Linked DNA regions of Caenorhabditis elegans. The protein of the gene in region 2 purifies or fractionates together with the protein of the main gene of each other region. This does not show direct contact. Each region holds a gene or a part of one and is shown on either strand. Other genes may lie near its edges.

Region 1 (12,489 bases), on a different chromosome or scaffold from region 2:
GACTTCCAATATGAAGGACAGTTAGACTTATCATCACTATTTCCTGAACAACTCTTCAAAAACATATGACCATTTTTAGGTCACTTGCAAAATGAAAATTTCTGCGTCATATTTCGTCGAAGAGGTTTAAAAGTAGTCATTTTTGCTGAATAAATCTATATGACTTTTCCTTTATTGAGTAGCTCTGTTCACTCCACCACAAAAATAATTATACCCAACAATTATCTATACATTCGAGTGGAACGATAGAAACGCCAATAAACCAATTGAGAAATCAAAATTCTAAACTTTTGAAAAAAAAAGAACACTATTTACAAAAACAATTCTTTTACAAAAACATCTACTATTTCGTCCACTTCTCGAGTAGGTAGCCCATTCGTCCACTGGTTTTTGTTTGCACGCCACCATCGCACAACTAAAGAGACAGAGAGCAGAGAGAAAGACGTAACACTTATACCTCCTACTGGTGGTCAGAAAATGTGGCCTTGTGGCCTAATGGATAAGGCGTCTGACTTCTAATCAGAAGATTGCAGGTTCGAGCCCTGCCTGGGTCAAATTTTTTTTTTTTGTAATGGATATCTAATTTTTGTCTCTTGTTTGATTTATTCATTTTTTATAAAATCCGGTTCATTTGGTGAAGAGAGCATTTAGTAATACGATAGTAACTAGAAATTCCCACTGTGCAGCGAAGAAAAGTTAGTGAATCCAACAGAGCCAACTTTAACCATTTATTCATGCGAAAAAAAGCTTTAAAGCAAAAAGTCATAACATATAAGAAAGTCATAAGATACATCCAGAAACATAAATGTCACCGGGAGTTCGTTCTTATTGTTTTTCCTTGTTTCTGTTTCTCAATTTTTCGTGTACTACGCAATATACCAGCCCGACCGTGGCCTTGTGGCCTAATGGATAAGGCGTCTGACTTCTAATCAGAAGATTGCAGGTTCGAGCCCTGCCTGGGTCAAAATTTTGTTGTCATTGAAAGAGCTGTCTCCAGAGATGTCAAATATTGTGCGAATATGTGAACTGTCTGGTCGTGTTCGTTTTACAACGCAATAGACAACGTTTTTATGACTACTTTCTGTCTCGTGGCTTCTTTAAAAGACCTTTTGATCTTTCGTGTTCAAGAAGATTAAAATGTTGGCATCTGTCCAATTGAGATATAAATTTAATTTTTATTGTGTAAAGAACGCGAAAGAACACAACCAATGAAATTCCAACTGACCATTTTCTCGTTGAAATATTCTCACTTTCTCTGGGAGCGATTCACCTTCATATAAAGATTTACAACCACGTCAATAATAGCTTTTCCTTCTTCGCACACACACCCACATTACCGTGTCGTCAGTGTAAAACAGTGAATGTGTCTTCTACTCTCTTCAATCGCACCATGTTGAAAATTATTACAGCTTTATGAATGTGTCGCATAGTTTTCTTTTTGTTATCATTGTTATCATCACAATGATACTAGCTGCGGGAGGCCTGGAAAGCCAGCGTGTTTTCGTTCCGGCGAAAGTTTTCAAAGAACAAGGCCTTGAAACTTGAAAGAAAAAATCTGAAAATTGTTGGGTAATGACTTTAGTAGTTTTTAATTTATAGAAACCGGTTTATGTTCGACAAGGAAAACGAAAATTAAAAGAAAAGTGCACTTCTTCACACCGAAATTGACTTCAATTTCCGTGAAATTTTGTGTCTGCAAAATTGAATAATTGGTACATTGAATTTGAACTGATCAAAGTTATTTATTTTGTAATAAAAGTTAAATAATGAAACAGAAAATATTGGATAAAATTTGATGAAAAACTGACAACATTCAGAAAAAAGGGCACCGAGTAAATTAAGTGGATTGGGAATGAGGGGGAAAGGGTTTTGAATTTTTTACATAATTTTTTAAAAGCATCATCACAAAAGTAAGTATTCTTCGTGGAGAGAAAAGTGAACAGTTTTGGAAAAAAGTGACAGAACTACGAAAGAAAGGATTGGAAGAAAATGGGGAAATTTGGGGGAGCAACACCGGCTCACATTCAATATGAATCTAAACGTGAGGAAAAATGCAGAGAAAACATATTTTTGAAAATAAAAATGGAAATAGAAAGACCATAAATCCTACTGAACACCCTGAATTTGGAAATTGATCTGAACGATTTGTGATCTAGAAGTGAGACATGGCAAATCTTTGCATAAAAGGAGGACGACAGAGGTAGAAAATACATACTAAATTGTTTTGTTTGTAATAAAATATTAAAATAAAAGATACATTGTGACTAATGTAACCAGAATTGATGATATGATAGAAATGATTGATGCTCCTTTTGCCTCCTCTGAAATGTTTTTCAACTAAATATTTCAATTGATCTTGTTTTTACTTGTTTTTTAGAACCTTGTAACTTTAATACAGATTTTGAAGCATTATTCTATTTGTAAACAATAGGGTTTTAATAACATTTTCAAATTTTTATATATGATTTCGCTCGGACTTGCCATTTTTAATGTCAGATTTGTTTCTCTAGCATTTTTTTTTCAAAAATGTTGAGTAGTCGACAAAACAAAACACCATGAAAAGTTTACAACAAGTTGAAGATTTTTCAAAACTTTCAGTCAAATTTGGTTGACTTCCTGAATTGTGGATGATAAAAAGTGAATGATAACAATTTGTTAATTGCAATAGACATTTCAAATATTTTTTATTTATGATAGTTTTAGTAATGTGAAAGTAGTTTTTAACAACTTTCCTACGGGTGCTATTTTTTAATACATTGTTTTTACTGTGCTTCAGTAACTTCACAAAACACAAAACCTTAGTGAACTCTCAAACTATCAAGTAACGTACACAATGCTAAAATATCATACAACTTTTTCGAAGAGTTTGTATTCTAAAAACAAATAAAAAATTACCCTTTTCAATTCTCTGCAATTCAACATGCAATGCGTCTTTTGCCATGCTTCCCCAACCCAAAGCGTTTCTGGCCTTCAACTGAACATGGTACTTGTTTCCGTGCTCCAAGAATGTGCTAAGATCGATGGTATGTGTCCATTTGTCATCACCATTATTATCGCTCTTCTTCACTCTGACACTGTTGCAGTCCTCCGGCAGAAAGTGATCCGCATTTTCTAATCGGTGGCAAAGCTGGTATTCGAGAATCTTGTCAAAGGCGCGAACAGTCCACGTGAGCTCAGATTCGTCAAAAGAAAGTTGTGGTGGACCTGGTCTTCCTAAAAGTTTTAACTATGTAAATAATTGGCGTTAAATGTTTTTTTAATCAGTTTCAAGAACTTTTGTCAAAGTTAACCAAATAGTCGGTCCGATACTTTGATTATCTTAATTTTTTCAAATCCACTACTTCTATAATAACTGAAAAATGAAAATCTATGCTTTCTGGACCAATTTATTTTGCTATCTGTCCCTTTTCATGTAAGTCATCTACCAGTTTACTATTCCATCCTTCTCCATCTCCAAGGTACTAATTCATTATGTAAATTTGTCGGGAGAAAGCTCATTCAAAAGGTGACGAAGTCCACAAGGGCCCGGTGCAAATAACAAGGACCCTCTTCCCCCACACGCCCGCAGGTGAATTATTCCTGACGTGTGTTCATAGAAAAGGAGATCCGGAGGAACAGAACGGAACGGAACGAGAAAATGATTGGCAATTAGTCAAATGTCATCACGCACCACTAACGTGCACCACAGCGGTGACGGATCCGAGTTTGTTGGAAATTCGGCACGCGTAGTCCCCGAAAGCTTCTTCGGAAATGTCGCCAACAGTCAGCGTAGACTTGCTGTATCCATTAAGCCTTTGAGCCGTTTCCGAAGTTTTCTTGAACTTCTCGTCATTGAACTGCAATGTATAAAGCATTATTCATCAGAATTCCAAGTGGTTGCGTGACATACGTTAATCTTGTAACCATTGAAGAGCCACTCGACTTGCGGCACTGGAGTTCCGTCATAAGTACACCAGAATGATGCGTTTTGGTTTTTGCGCACCGGAATGAACGTGTCCTCATTTTTCACCCATGGCTTTTCTGAAATTAATTCCCTTTTTTTTGGTTTTTAGTATTTGTTGGAACAATGAGTGAAACTGAAAGTTGAAATTAAATATTGTAGGGTTAAGAGAAACATAATGAACATATCGTCACATTATTGGAATATATGTATATGATTTCAACGATAAACTCATAATTTGAACAGCGCCAACTTCCCATTTTTGGAAATACAAATCTCAAAGTATTCTATAAACTGAAAAAAGGTCATCCTGGGACCAATTTAGAGAGCTTTGTATCCAAAATATTGCAATGCCAAATCATAAAATATACATATCAATAACCTTCTTCCCTACTCCCAACATCCAGTTTCGGTTTCCCACCAGCATGCCACTCCATATGGTTTGGCATGTTGGATCGGATAATCGCAAATGCACATCATTTTGTCAAGCGTTCTTACCCCACCGACCTACAAACTGTCACCTTTTCGATCAACCATCTGTTGAGTTCTAGGATATGATGAGCTCACAGAGCCGATTCATCCTAAATTCTAAATCCCTTGCCTCCAATTAGGACTATATATATATTTACTGGATTAATTTCCCTCACTATCCCTATTGAAATCATCTATATAAACAAAAATGTTGGATGATGGGCAGTCGAAAAAGGGTGAATGGTTCATAAATTGCAGCTGGCTGGTCTCAGAAACCATCGCAACCCCTTTTGTTGTGCCAACACCTTCTATAGAGCAATTTGAGGGGGTAGCTCGACGCAGATGTTGTCAAAACCAACGTCTCAACGTCTTCTGGATTAGATGTTTAATGGATGCACGGTCACAATCACAAACACAACATATCACACCACATTGGCAATATCCGACGACGATTTTCATACTCACCTTCGCGTTCTCCTTGGAGCGGCTCTGAAAAAGAGATGAGTGATTGATGGCACACGTCACGTCAAAAAAAAATTAGAGATTTGTGGAACAAGAGGAAGAGTCTAATGCACTAGTGCAACACATGTTGTTTATCATTGGTTACACCACAAAATCTGATAAATGATTGCAGCTTTCCTCCTATCATTAATCTTTTCTTCCACTTTTCAAATTTTCACGTCTCAAAAAACTAGTCTTGTTTTCCATTACAATCGAAAAACATACTTTTCATTCAAAAACACCTCTGCATATTCAAATTTCAATTCAAAGTCAAATTCAAGTTCACAATCTCACAAACAAATTGAAAATGCTTACCAGCAACATGTATGTCAATTGTAGCTCTGTCCGATCCTGCGATGTTCTCTGCCAAACAGTTGTACTTCCCAGCATGGTGCTTCTTCACTTCGGTGATAACAATTCTGGCTCCTCCGTGCTCGCGCTTAATATCCTCTGGCAATTTGGCAGCCTTAAACTACAACCATAATTATAGGATCAGAGAAAAGGAAGTCAATGTTGGCAAAACTAGCAATTAGTAGTAAGAGTCAAGAGATTAGGGGTATAATGAACCAACCTGTTTGGTCCAAACCACTCCTGGTTTTGGGTTTCCTTCCTTCACGTGGCATGTGATCACCAGATTCTTTTCTCCAACCCGAGCATGATAGACACCAGTGTCTGGAGAGATGACGACAAGTGGTTTAACTGAAACTTGAGTGGGTTTGAAAACTGAAAACATATAAAAATATTCTCTACATATATTGAAAATATCTATTATTTCCCTACATCAAAAACAATTTTCAATGTGCAACATTAGACAAATTTTTATTGACTCAGGTAAAAATAAGAAGAAACAAACGGTTCCTACAAAAAATATTAGTCTATATGGAAAATCTCTATGTACACGTAATTCTTACTTCAAGCTCTGAAATGGACTTAAAATAAATATTACATAATTTAGGTAGCGCAACTCGTATTTTTCAAGAAAAAATGCGCTATCTCAAACGAAGTTTTTTTCTGAAACAATCACCTTTTAATTTCTATAATAACTTTACACGATTAACCCCTTTTGGCCATGTTCTACTTTTAATTTCATTGCGCAGATGTCCATGGCAGTGATGGGACCAGTGGAAAAGCATTATGTAATGACAAATGCCTAATAATAAGCGTGGCGGGGAGACGGGGGGTTAACAGAGATGGGCGTTTCAGATAAGCCATTTTGAGTGCACATTCTTTAGAAAAGTTATGGGTATTGTTGGTTTGATTGTTATTTGTTCAAATTGTTGTGTTTGTATTTTTTGTAAAGAGAAAAACTGTAAATTCAAGTTTGAAAAAGTTTTCTGTAACGTTTACACATTTTTTCACAAGGTTCTCTCCACAACTCAGTGTTTTAGAATGTTTACAATACCTAGGATTTTCATCATTTCCGCTCAGTGAGTATCTATACTTCCTCACTTTCAATCCAAACTCCCAAAACTTTCAAACACACCTTGCACTTTGATGACAAAAGTGACACTGACTTCCGGCTCTGCCAATGCGCACGAGTAGTTAGCCGAGTTGATTGGCTCGACTCTCTTGATGGTGAGCACAGATGTCTGAAGAAATTTCGAATAAAGAAGAAAGACTAAACTTAGTTAAGCCCTTGATCCTAATCAAGTGTAAATTAAATCTAGTTACCGAGCCTTCCATCGAGATTTCGTATCCTCCGTAGGTGTCGAGAATCTCATCGTCAACAGCGACGACTTCTGTGTTCTTCCTCCAAATAATTGCAACCGATGGGTCCTCAACTTCGCATCTCAAGGTGAGAGATTCTCCTTCTTTTGCCTTCAATTTTTCAATTACTTGAGCATAAAAAAAATAACAGCTTACAATTAATGTTCCACCTTTTGTCCTAATTTGAGCACTTGTCGATGCTATCAAAAGTCCAAGAATCAGCAGAACCAATTTCATCATGCTGAAAAAAGAAAATGTTGAAAAAAAAAGAAGTTCACATTCAGAGAGAAAAAAAAATAGAAGAGATATCGAGAAAAGAAAATAAACAAGCTAGAAACCCGATGTTGCCAATTTTTAATTATTAACAATTACAACTGTCTTACTCCCTATTCCCCTCTGTTTTACAGCCACTCTCCCCCTCTTATCAACACAGTTCTGTACAGCGTGCTCTCTTGTCTCTGGCATCTAGAGTACTACAGTGACTCAGACTCAGTGGGGGCCAGTCCTATTGACCAAAACTATCAGAAGGAGAAATGAGGGGCAGCCGCCTAGTCAGTTGTAAAATTCGGTCGTGATTTGCTCATCCTCCTCCTTCAGGCCATTCTGTCATAAAAGGACAACAACAGAAGCAGAAAGGAAAGAAGAAGAAGGGGTTTGGTTATGCATAGTGAGACGAAAGTGGCGATATGAATTAGGGACATTTACGATTCCCTTGATGATTCCTCTGGAGGTCTGGAGCAGTATTCATTCTCATTTCAGAGCACTGATTTCGTAAATGGGCGGGACAAGTTAGCGTGGGAGTGAATTAATAATAATTGAAAGCTGACACTTGCAAAACAAAATTTGTTTAGCTAATGGTTTAGTAATACTACGGTTTGGTTTGATTTACCAGAAACTAAATTATTTCTGCAAAAAAGCTAGCACGAAAGTGTCGAGTTTCTAGAGTTGTGTTTATATCAGTTTATCAACATTCTGTGGTCCTGAACACTATTTGTCCATACGACCGGGTTCAGAGGGGATTGATGATAAGAATGTGGTTGTGGTGAGAGTATTAACACATTATCGCATGTGCTAGAAACTCCGCCCATTATACGGAGCAAAAAAAACATTGAAAACAGTGCCAACTGGAGCAATGGAAAAATCTGCGTGGGTGCCGATTGGGGAACTTTTTCGACTTATATTTTTATCGAACTTGTGAGAGCAAGATGAACTGGGATGTGGCAGAGAAATAAAAATCCACGTTCACTTTTTCAAGATAGCATATCACACTGCAATCGCGAGATATATAATAAAATCATGTGAACATCACATCATAGAGCATTTAGTACTAGCAAATATCGAAAGTGTGAAGCGAAAGCGTGGCTTCGCTCATTCCAATAAACGCCTTTTAAATTGATGAGCCTCAGAGATTGGATGCCCATATGAAGGGTGCTGCACGAAAAAGGCGGGGCCTGTTTGGGGTGGTCTCTTGACTAATTGTACTGGTAGTGGGGGGGGGGGGGGGGCTAAGGTCGCGCTGGACGACTCAATCAGTACACCCACTAACTGAGAAATAAAGCATTGGAGCATCTCATTTTGAGAAGAAGCAACAAAAAAGGAGAAAAGTTGCATAATACCTATGGAATATGGGAGAAAGATGAAGAAGAAAACAAAACGAGGGCTTGCTTTTCCTAGTACTTAGATTAGACTGACTTTTTTTCTCTCAGAAATGACAAAAACAAGCCTTAAGAGTCAATTGCAAATAAGACAAAGTGCAAGAAAAGGGCAAAGGGTGTATAATTCTTGATTTTAAAATTTAACCAGCGGAAACCAAATGGGAATTAAAATTAAAAAACAAGAAGAATAAAAAATAAGACACTCAAAAAAACAGCTCCCCTTCAATTTCGAAAACCGGAAACGTCAAAAAAATATGGGTCAGAAAAAAGAGGAAACCTAAATTTATAATGTTCTAATATAATAAAAATTTATCTACGCCACTGTTTCTTTATTTCCCCTCATTACTCAAAACTGGATAAGAACAGATAGGCGTGAAAGTGATCGATGAGAGAACATCGCATCTTCGTTCGTCTTATTTTATGATTCTCTTATAAATTGCACTTTCATAAAGAAGGCGCCAAATGGGGAGCACCTGTTGTGATGGGTTCGAGAATGGGAAGACATTAAAAACGGCGAAAAAGACGAAATGAAAACCACCGAAAAAAAGAGAATGGCAGGTGTGTGAGATATCAATTCTTGTCTTGAAACACGCAATATATGTCCTTTGGGTTCAATGTCCTTCTAATGTCAAAATGTGCCAGCTGCCTCGAGGTTCACTAGAAATGTATTATAGGCAATTGTAGAAGAATGGAGATTGAAGATGGTGAATCAAAACTTTTAAATCTTGGGATGTGATTTTAAAGATGGAAGAGTCACTTGTGGGGTTTTTGTTTGGACGGAGTATCCTCAATGATGAAAGTACTAAAAAGTGCAGGTGGTGAATCTTATGAATTTAATAAGAATTTAGTCTGTTTAAAAAACGGGAAAACCCGTTAACACAGGGATTTTTATCATTAACTAATGAGTTTGAAAGTGACTGAATTTGGATTTTCCACGAAAATAATTGTAGAAGAATTTGTTTCCCTAAACCTAATAGTGAGAACATTATTCACGTTTTAAATAAATGAACAAATATAACAATTACAAATTTAACTTTAAAATGTGGGGTCATAAAACACAAGTACCGAAAATTCTAAAAAGTCTCCAAAAAATATATTTAAAAGACTTGTTTTTTGCAAAGAAAGCGGTAAATTCAAATTAAAAGAGTTTTTAATCTCCTATCAAATGTTGAATCGAATCGGTGGTACAATACATAATGTCATCTTCAGATTAAATATAAGTACACAAAGAAAAATGAGCGAAGTATGGGTAAAACAACTGAATTTTAGGAAAACTATTGAAATTAAACCTAATCTCAATCCTTGACAAGTTTTTACAACCAACGTGAACAAATAAAAGTGAGTGACCTCTTGAACAACGACACCGTGTAACTGTTTTGGGGGGAGGTGGATGGATTCTTGTATACATTTGCAACATTATGTTACTTTACCGTCACAAGACGGTGGATCGGGATGGAGAAGTGCGCGCGAGAAACTTATTATTAGTGTTTAATGGGTTCTACCACTTTCAATGGCCGAGTTCTCAATAGTGAAACGGGAGGGAGGAACTGTTTCGGTCAAGAATAAGGAGCGAGAGAGGAGGAAGAAATCCACGATGTTCATACACTGAATACTTTGAATATGCAAATATGGGAATAGAAAAAGGCTATTTTGAAAATAACGCGCGTGTTCGGTGGGTTTACGTAGGAGAACCTTGAAAATTGCGAAGTAAATGTTGGGACGCGAATGGAGAGAGGGGAGAAAAAAAAATGAAATAAGATTTTGTTGCATGGCACATACTTATCTTTTTCCCTTTTCTCTCAAAAAGGAGAAGCTGCAAGTGGATACACAAAAATGACCAGAGGGCAGAAAAACGGGCGGTGCTCACTAGTGCTAGTTGACTAGAAGAAAAAGAGCTGCTCAAAGTTTAAGAAATGAGGAGACGAGGAAAGAAAATGTGAAATGAAGAGTTTGATTGTCAGAAAATAAAAGTAGAAGTTTTGGTTTCAAGCAAAAAGACATTGAATCATACGATTTTCAGGCCGATTTTTTTATACAGGCGCAGCAAAACATTTATAGTCTAATGCCTATCCTCACACTTCCGGAATTCAGTACAAATTTTGCCACTTTCACAGTGTGGGCGTCTCTGTAAAACTGTCAAATGGAGCAAGGAAGCAGGAATGCACGATGAGTCACTCTAAAGTTTAAACACGTCAAAGCCAAACGGAACACCATCAGAAGACGGAAAATGAAAATATGTGTGTATGTGTGCATAAGAATGAGTTATCATGATGAAAAGTAAGTGACCTCAGTATTCAGCAAATGGTACAATGAGCTTCAACTCAATGGAATAAAACTACAAAAATCGTGATCGCGTACAGAAATTGGTATATGATTTTTCGCATTAAAAACCCAAAAGTTAAAAATTACAATATACAAACTTTCTACAATTTTCAATTTTGTATAACTCAAAAAAAAATTGAATGCGGGGAATAAAAGTACCATAAAATTTCTCAAACACAGTAGTATGTTTCAATTATATCATAAACTTTTATGATCGTCTGACACTTTTTAAAGTGGTAAATCGGTGATTTCACTTAATCCAAAAAACATCATACTATGTGGAAAAACTAAATTTATCGAAAACTTAAATTTTCTACACTCAGTTTCAAAACCTTTCAAGGATTTGAAAAATTGTATACACTTGTACTAAACTTGCACTTCGCGAGACATGTAATTTTTTCTTTATTTTATTTTCAATCATAGGAATCAAATTCTCTAAATGAGTGAGAATTCTAGTTTTATATAAAACGGAAAACATTATTAACAAAAATGAGCAAGAAACGGATTTTTAAACTAGGGGTATGCAATTAAAAGTCTTCCAATCTTAACAAATTCAGCTAGTGGGGTTTTTGAACACTTGTCGAACACGAAAAATTTGGCAAACTCAACAAATCTCAATATTTTAAAACAATATTTGAGAAAAAAAAATAGAATGGCCGAAAAAAAAAACACAGTTTTCCGTTTAATTTTGCCTGCAAACCATTCTGTGCAATTTCCAAAATAAATGATTTGATGAGAAATTCATCGAACTTGCCTAAACTGAATAATACAAAAGATTGGGAAAAAAGATTTCACAGCTCATTGTATTCGACTTGTAAGCAGTAGAATCGCGGATGGCGGTGTTTATGCAATACAGTGGGATTGAGGCGTGGATTAGGAAAAGTCTAACGGGTTGGAAAATAAAGGGTGGTGAGTATTGAGACGGGGGCCGAACAAACCGCGGGGATTACTGCCGACAACAGGGCAATTGTGTAAGTATATGGATGAATGTGTGTATATTCCTGTCCTTTCCGCCGATCCCTCATTCAACTTCAATTTTCGAAAATCTTCTTCAATTTCTTGAAATAAATTTGAAATCCAAACCAGAGAGCGTTCGTTTAAAGGATTTAGATGGATAACGTCCGTTGTCCGGAAGGACAAAAAAGGAGGAGAAGTGGTGACGGGTAGGAGTCTCATGCTTTTCCAAGGCCTTTTTAAATTTATGCACAAATACATCAAATTAATGAATGAGCAAAGCAGAAGCTTCGAAGAATAGAAGGGCATCGAGAAAGAGGTAGAGTGCGCAAAAACCACAACACCAAGAAGATCGGTATCTTTTGATGCCGAGCAAAGGGTAGGAGGGTGACGTTAAAGGAAAAGAAGGATTGGTGAAAAGTGAAATGTGTGAGAAATATGCATGTCTCTGGAATAACATTAACTCTAATATTCAAAAAAAAAGCAAGGGAGCATTGTATCCAGGACAAGCCAGAAGTCCATTTGTTCAAACTTTTTTTTCCAATTATCAATTTCAGTCTGCGTGAATTTTAGCAGGAAATGAGTTATGTTAGAATTACCACCTTATTAATTTACAAACATCGGAGCTGGTGAAAATAAATAAAATGGGTGTTAGCAAATGGTGCCTACCTACAATAGAAATCGTATGGTAACTATTCATTCATTAAAACCTGTGTAAAGAGTTTTTTACTCATAGATTTCAGTATATATGGGGCCTCTAAACATCAATGATAATATAGAGATTTTGTTTCTTTTCTTTGAATAGAAAGTTTATCGCCAAATATCTGAAAAATATACAACATAAACTAGTTATTTAGTTTGTGGTTCTTTTTGAAAACATATTGTAAACCAATTATTCACATACAGTTCTTTGATCATGTAGATTAACAATGAGCCAAA
Region 2 (8,505 bases):
AACCTCTTGGTATTTTTGATGAAGTTTGGAGGTATTTTATTTTTGCAAACTACAAACTACAAACTACAAAACCACAGCCTGGAAAGAACTTTAAAGTTAACATTTCCAGGATACCTACTAAAAGTTTCTATAATTCGAAAAAAAAAACTCTTTTCAAAAATACTGATTTCGAACTACAAACCACAAACTACAAACTACAAACTATAAACTACAATTTACAATTACAGTTGGAACACCTTTCAGAATGAAATAAAATTTTCAAATTTTTTCAGAGTTTTGATTTTAATTTTTTTTATTTTTTCTATACCAAAAACCAACTACATCTTTTAAGTTCTATGTTTTACCCTACAATCTACAAACTACACAACAAACAATATTATAATTGTCAAGTAATTCATTAAAAAAAAATTTTTTTTGAAAAAAGGCAATTTACAAATTACCCATTTGACCCAGGGCTTCCAAAAATTCCAAAATAATTTATTCCAATACCCCTCTCGGAGCCAATTGAGCTCTCTTGAACCTCTCTAGAAAACAGTACCTTATTAATTTGCAAATCCCCCACTCTCCTGACAGCCTCCGGGGTAGACACCCCCAGAGGCGGATCACCGGGGGGAGGAGTCTGTGGGGCACCGGGCTGTTGGGATGGGGAGAGAGGCCACTTGTTCCGTGTGTATGTCAAAAGAGAGAGAGAGAGACAAGATTTGCAATGTTGCGGTAGGATTTGAGGATAAATTATTTTATTTTTAGAATTTTGAATTTGAAAATGGTTTTTTTTTGTTTAAATTTGGTCCCCGCCTCTTCCTATTGAATTTTTTTCCTTTTTTTCAATTTTTTTTTCCAAAATTTTCAATTAATTTTTTTTCACTTGAAATTTAATTCTTTTTCATTTTACTATCTACTTAAACTTCCTGCTAAATTATAATTTTGTTGTATATTTGTTTTTGAAAAAATTCGCCTCTCCCACTTCAACCTCTCTCAAGGGGCCTAAATGACCTCTTTTGACCTCTTTTTTGCGGCATTTTGTACCACTTGAATTCGAAATATAATTTCTGACAGTATTTTTAACAATTTCAAATTTTAAATACATTTCGATTTTTGAAAAAAAAATTCCAAAATTTCAAAAAAAAAAGTATAAAATTTTTTCATTTTTAAATTTGGTGCGTTTGTCAAAATGTTTGTTTAAATATCTGGTTTTCAAGTATACATGTTAAAACAATACGTTAAAAAACAAAAAAACTTATTTCAAAAACCCTCAATTTTCTTTTTTTTTCACCCTTTTAACTTCAAACATTCATATCTCCGCGATTTTTGGAAATATTAAAAATTTGTCAACTAACAAAATAATTACTATAAAATTTTCTATATTTTGTTGCAACAAAACATTTTGATACCTCTGCCTTCCAATGAACTATGGGAATTTAAAACAGAGTAGACAGGTGAAGTTTGTCTGCGTCTACCTATTTTTGTATCTCAACTCTGCGGGTGTAAGAGGTATCAAAATATTATCATTTAATAAATTGTAGTAAATTTTATGTAGATACTTTTGTTAGTTGGAAACTTTTTGATATTTTGAACACTCCAGGAAATATCACTGTTTGAATTAATTTGTTCCCATTTTTGCCAATTCCTATTCATAATATGTATCATCTTTCTTATTTTTCACGCTTTTTCAAGAACGTAATAAATTATTATTATTATGTTCGTCAATTAGAGCAAATCTCTCAATTTCAAATTTCCAGCACAAAATGCACCCACCCATCAAAATTCAAACAATTTTACTGTTCATCCTCACCACCGTCCATTGTTCCGCCAAACGGTTACCGCAAATCTACTGGAACTCTACAAATCCCCTGTAAGTTGACTTTATCTTTCCTCCCAGTAGATCAAAAGCCTTCCGCCAATCACTCCACACATTTATGTTTACAATATTTACCTACAAGCCCCCGCCGGGAGTCCCTCAGGGTCCCAAAGAAGAAGCCGTACATGGCATAGTAAGCCGAAACCAAACGATGTTACTAATTATCTGGGTGCATACTGAGCAAATATTGAGCGGCGGGGAGGAGGTTATAGAGTATCAAAAATTAATCTGGGAACAGATGGGCATACTCTTTTTAGGATTAAGAAATCGGGGGCTCTCATTTTTAATAGGAACCGTAGATTTGTGAGCTATTACCTTACCTCGATGCACCATGACCTTAAAGACCATAGCTCCATGTACCAGGATCCTGAACATAACGTCTTGATGCACCATAATTTTATAAGCTTGGGCCACAAAATCTTAAAACTTAAGGCTCAATTCACTAGGATCTCAGAGCTCAAGTTTTCCAAAGCCCGATGCACCATAACTTCATAAGCTTGGATCATCATGGCCCCATAGCTATGGAAAACCAGGTCCCCATTACTCGATGCACCTTGACCCCAATAAGCTTGGGGCGCTAGAACCCTATACCCTATATGTTTCGATGCACCATGTACCTCCAGCTCTAGTTTTCATTCTTCGATGCACCATAACCTAGTTCCTAAAAAACAGTGTTTCTGAAACAGATTGCAGGTGTGCTCCTCCAAGCATCACTTTTTGTTTTTTTTATGAGCTCTCCCTCGTTGTTTTTCTTCATAAATATCCTGGCTTGATAGATTCCACATGTTTGTCACACACGTCGACCTCCTCCACACCCCTCTTAGTCTCAAATCCCTAATATATTCTATCCCTGTCCCGCGGGGGCAGATGTTCTTGAACAACCAATACTGTCAATCTGATAGGCATCTTCTAGGGCCATATGGGAAGTGAATGTATCAAAATGAAATCTTGAAGCTTGGCGGGGCTCTCTTGGGGGGCTCCACATCATGATGATATGATGACATGTTGTGGACCTCCTTAGTGTAATAAGTGGGGGGGACATAGTCTTGTAGTAGTACACGCTGCCTGATTTATGAGTCTTATCTCCTGTTGTACCTCTCTGATATCTTTCTCTTCCCGGTGAAATTTATGCCTTTGAGGAACAGGTTGGAAAGAAGTGCGGAGCATCAAAATGGAGCAATTAGTTTGAATGAAATAATGGGGGAGTGGGGGAGTGGACACAAGTGAAATTAGAGACCTCGGACTTTTGGAAATGGAATATATATACATGGACAAAGTTTTGAAATTCGAACGTTTACATATTCATTTTCAAACGACTTTAAATTTCCGGGGACCACAGAGACGGGTACTGGGACATGGTGCATCGTAGAATTGGAAAAAAAGACCTTGAGAACATGCCGATAATTGTCTCAATATAGATGTTGTTAATACTAGAATTTTACAATCGGATATGATCCAAAGAGAGAGAGAGAGACCAGATTTTATGGCTCCAGGTAATATACAAAACAAGAACCGCCGCCGCCACAACCCGTGTACATTTTTATGGCATCAAGATATGGCGGTGTGTGGGTGAAACTTAGCAGGTCTTTGCACATGGGCAATTACAGGGGGTACGGATTACTAAATATAGAACACTATTGGTTTTGTACATTGTTAGTTGACTATTTTCCAGTTTCAAGGAAATTTTCAGTAGTTTCCAAAAAAAAGTATTTTAATGAGGGTATCAACAAAAAAAATGTTAACTGGGAGAAAGCAAATTTGGCGTAGTTTTTTTTTGTTAGTAAACAATTATTTAAAATTTCAGTTTTTAGGTGAGCAGGAGTTTTAAATGACCTAGTTGGGTACACAATATGTAATGTATTTATAAAAATTATAAATACGTTCATATCTCCTTTTCTAGTGAAGCTGTCAAAAAGTTTTCGACCAACGAAATGTGGCAAATTTCATACAGTTTGATATTTCATTTTCTAGGGCAGTTACATAAGTTTTAAGCTCCATGGTAGTGGTATAAACTTTTGAACGGCCCTATTTCATTTGTCAGTAAACCTATCAAAAATAAGTCAACGGGCAAAAATTTAGCCAGACTTATAAAACTTATTTCTAGTGATTTATGGGAATTTTAAGATTCTCTGTAGGTAGTTTTCAACCATTTGCCAAAATGTTTGTTAACTTTTGACCTCCACAGTAGCTCTCAACCCCCTACCAAATACCACAATAACCAATGACACAACACCTTTCTGTAAACCAACACTATCCAAATTATGACACAACATTTTTATTCTGCAATCGGCAAACAAAAGGAGAGCTAATCCCCCGCACAAGGTGCTAAGTCTACCCACATTTGCGGTAACAAATTCCACCGCGCAATTGGCAGTTGATTAGTCAAATTAGCTCCGACAGCAAATGCTCAAGTGTGCAAAGTGGTTCCAATAATTGGGTACTCCTTATGTGTCCAAACATTTGGAGGGGGCAATAGTAACTATTTACGGAGTGGGGCACTTGAGATGAAGCTAGATGTTTTCGCTAGTAGGATACCCAAAACACGAGAGAGAGCTTTCCTTATTTGTCTAATGTCGCAGGTCATCGAAACCGATACTGTTTCTCCATCACAAATTTCTTTCTGGCTCAAGAGCTTAGCCTCACGGAGCACCAGGGCTCCCGGAGGGTCAGTTACATAACTCGAGACCAGCTGCTGACCTCATGTAGCTGCAGGTGTCTAGTGAGATGTTTTGAAATTAGTAAGGGTCTTGGAAGAGATAAGGTGTGCCTTTATTATGCAAATATTTTTCGGGGGAACACCGGAAGTATTAGGTGGGGCAAAATAGGACACTGGACGGAAATTAGGCAGTAAATGGTGTTAATATCCTGAAAATGGAAATTCTGAGTACCCCATCAAACTATTCCCAATAAAATGTGTGCCCTATTCTGGGGAACGAATATGTAAATTGTCTTTCTCTCAGCATATTGCACCCAATAAAACGGTCCATTCCTTTTTCCCCAATATCTACAAAACGGGCACATAATTAACATGCCCCTTGCCGCCCGACACAGGTGTCTTTGATGAATGCCGATCAATCGAGAGGCAGGAGTGGGGGGGGGGGGGGCTAATCTCTAGAGACCCCCCTTACTCATTCGGGAGCTAACTGCTGTTCAGGAAGGAAGCCCTTGTTCTTCATCACCCACATGCTCATCACAATTTCGTGATGGGTGGGGAAAGAGCACACAACAATTAGGAAGCTCTATTACCAAATTGGACAGCTAACTGTTTCTGTTTTGGACATCCAAATATTGGGAGGGGGAGGTCTTAGTGGCAGACTGTTGGCAGTTACGTAACGGTCATGTGGACGGCAAATGAGGCGGAAGATTTTTGAAATTGGAGGAGCCTAGGCATGCCAGCCAAGACCGACCTTATCCGAAGCCAAAAAAAAATTTTGCCGTAAATCATAGCCTTATTTCGAGCCTTGTTCTTAAATGAAGCCTGACCCTATTTCTAAGTGAGCCCTACAATCGGTCTCAGTTTGAGCTTTTGTTTCGCTTAAGGCCTATATTATGGCTAAGTCTAAGTCTACGCCTAAACCTGAGCCTGCTCCTAAGCCTAAGACTAAGCCTAAGCCTACCCCTACTTCTAAACCTAAACCTAAGCCTATGGCTTAGCCCAAATTTAGCCTTGAAATGTTTACCGCATTTAGTTTATTTTTTCAAAAAAATACCTCAAAGGCTTTGTTCATCCCGACATCTAATGGGTAATTTGTCGGCGGCGACAAAACTTTTGCATTTTCTGGTCTGGCGTCCGAGTGGTGGCCAAAGTTTTATGTTCCGTGAGAGGGTTACGCGTTTTTGTAATGGCATGTTCGGGTTTTTTCTCTTTTTTCTCCGGGTGGCGGAAGTGTTCGGATTTTCAAAAAACAAGGGTAAAAAATCGAAAAAATAAATTTTGCAGAGTGGAACGATATGCTGCAATTGGAGACACCCTTGACATAGTTTGCCCGTTTTTCGATGAAAACTCTGATGAGCTCACTGAGCAATCGATTATCTATAGAGTGACTGAAGAGGAATATGAGAACTGTGAACGGAGGTCGAAGGCAAAGGAACTGGGAAGATGTACACAGCCGTATCAGGAGGAGAAGCTTAAAGTGGCGTTTAGGCTTATGAGCCCGAATCCGTCGGGACTGGATTATCGGCCTGGAGTCACTTATTATTTTATTTGTGAGTTTATGGAATTTTTAATTTTGAACATTTCGCAAAAAAAAATTTTTTTTAAGTTTTTGGAACAAAATATTAATTTTGAGAAATTTAAACACATCTTAAACATTTTTTGAATTGAAACTTTGATTTCCAATAAAAATTGTAGTTTTAAAAGCTATACCAAGGAAGAGCAAGAATTTTCAGGAAAAAAATCTAGGCTACCTTAAAACTCCTATAGCTTTTCAAAAAATTGATTTATCAAAAAATTGCCAACTTACAAAATATTGAGCATGAAATTTCCTATTTTTGATAATTTACTTTTGTGCTGAGTGAGTCACTGTAGTTTTTGCCGAGGGGGCAACGAATTTTTAACAAGAAAAAAACAAGGATTTCTAAAAACTTCCCTATCTCTTTAAAAATAGAGATATACAAAAGTTGACAACTAAGAAAATATTCAGCATTAAACTTTCTATATTTTGTTAGTTGACAACTTTTTAATATCTCTCTTGCCTGCCGAAATACATCAGCTCAAACAAATAAAAAAAGTTTTCCAGCTACCTCAACCGGCTCCCGAAAGGGTCTCTACAACGAGCAAGGCGGTCTTTGTGCGTCCCACAATCTGAAAATGGTAATCCACATAACTGACCGTAATGGAGACATCGGACCACACCATCACCGCCACCATCACAAGAAGACCACTACTACCACCACAACGAGTACTTCCACAAGCACCCCGAAGACCATTCCGCCGGTCGTCGAGATGGACAGCTCGGCGGAAAAGCTGTGGGAGCAGTTTTACGAGAAAGTGATGCCTATTGATAACACATGGCCGGAGATTACACGTGGCGAGCGGGTTACGTTGTATCAGGGGAATAAGAAGGATGAATACGAGCAGGTTCCAGCGGAAGTTGTCGATTTTGAGATTCATGAGATTGGAGATGGTGGGTCGTTTTTTTTTCGTTTTTTTTTAAATTTTTTCAACTACCAAATTTTAAAAATTCAAATTTTCAGTAGAATCTCTGTACTCATCATCTGGACGGCTCCGATATGTGCTCCTACTGCCGGCTCTCCTGCTGCTCCGGATCTTCTAGTCTACCACAGAAGTTCTTCCTTACCTTCAACCTCCTGAAATCCCGGGTGCCATCATTCCCATCATCACACATTTTCCCACCGTTGACGGGTTCCCATTTTATTCCCAAATTGTGCTCAATTTTGTATATTGCTCCCCTCCAAGTTTTTGATAATTTTCTCTTGATACCGGTATCTAGAACATGAGCTGAATATTAGTTTTCTGTGATTTTTTCAATCAAATAAATGGTTAAACTTTTTCCAATTTTTTTTTCAGAAGTTGCCCTACAGTAGCTCTGCCGGTACGTGGCAGATACTGTATCGGTAGGGACAATATATATATATATATATATAAGTGTACCGTAAGTTAATTAAAGGTACCAAGTATTGAAAAGGTATGGTATAGTACCGTAAGGGTATTGTAGGGGTACTTTAGAGGTTCCGTAATGAAACTGTAAGGGTACTATAAGGATATTGTGGGATACTAAGTATTGTGAAAAAAGTTATAACTTTTAATGAATAGCATCCTGTAAGGTTTAGCACCTTTAGATTTTATATTCCTGGCTTCGATACCCTTCAAGGTTACTGAAAACTTCCCGAGCGGTACTTTTTAACCTAAATTTACCGGAACTTCACAAAAGTTCATCGCTCTTCTTCCACCAATTCATTCGTACTTCATCTTCCCGTAATTTGAATGAAACGAAATATAAATCAACTCAATGTACACTTTCGTCGTTGTTGTGTAAACACTTTACCACAATAAATCACAGAAGTGGATCGTTTCGCGGCATCCCGTCCGCGCGCGCGCATCTTCTAGGGCATTTAGAAGGGCACGGGGGAGGCTTGGGGGTCTAAATGAAAATTGAAGCATAAGCCTAAGCCTAAACCTCAGCCTAATCTTTAGCCTATTTGTAAATTCAAGCCTAAATCCTGTTATTTGAAACAATTCATTGCATTTTTGAGGAAGGACGACCTTCACCCACCAATGATTGATTTGAATATGGAATTTTCGATTTTGACACACTAATTCGGCGCCGGCATACACCATAACATGTGTCAATTCTTCCAAATTTTTGACACGAAAATGATCTTGCAGATCGCATTGAAATGAGGTTCAGAATCGATTTGAATACCATTTTGAGTATGTCAAATTTTGAGGGGACATCATTTTTGAATATTTTGTATCTGCATGTTCAAATTTTCAAAAAAAAATCGCTGATAACTAATTCAACACTTTTTGACATGCGGCTCGTCACTTAATTGACCTTCCTTGTGCGCATCCATGAGATGGAGGGGATCATATCATAACCCCCTTAATAAGAGGGTTCAATGCGCGCGCGCGAATGTGAAATGAAGACATTTTGGGGGATGATGGCGGTGGCCCGTTTGATCTA

Evidence for each region.
Region 1: the proteins of vab-2 (region 2) and wrk-1 purify together in Caenorhabditis elegans (affinity purification with western blotting, with the first as the bait; one study listed by BioGRID). This does not show direct contact.

Annotation. Positions count from the first base shown.
Region 1 is NC_003284.9:8,385,723-8,398,211, forward strand, and holds wrk-1 (Ig-like domain-containing protein), read right to left. Parts: upstream 6,861-12,489; 5' UTR 6,860-6,860; coding exon 6,776-6,859; intron 6,731-6,775; coding exon 6,584-6,730; intron 6,502-6,583; coding exon 6,396-6,501; intron 5,636-6,395; coding exon 5,484-5,635; intron 5,385-5,483; coding exon of another isoform or gene 5,379-5,384; coding exon 5,228-5,378; intron 4,901-5,227; coding exon 4,877-4,900; intron 4,655-4,876; exon of another isoform or gene 4,393-4,654; intron 4,021-4,392; coding exon 3,890-4,020; intron 3,837-3,889; coding exon 3,671-3,836; intron 3,583-3,670; exon of another isoform or gene 3,433-3,582; intron 3,214-3,432; coding exon 2,896-3,213; intron 2,322-2,895; coding exon 2,242-2,321; 3' UTR 1,724-2,241; downstream 1-1,723.
Region 2 is NC_003282.8:3,760,061-3,768,565, reverse strand, and holds vab-2 (Ephrin RBD domain-containing protein), read left to right. Parts: upstream 1-1,739; 5' UTR 1,740-1,745; coding exon 1,746-1,852; intron 1,853-5,798; coding exon 5,799-6,064; intron 6,065-6,597; coding exon 6,598-6,984; intron 6,985-7,054; coding exon 7,055-7,134; 3' UTR 7,135-7,371; downstream 7,372-8,505.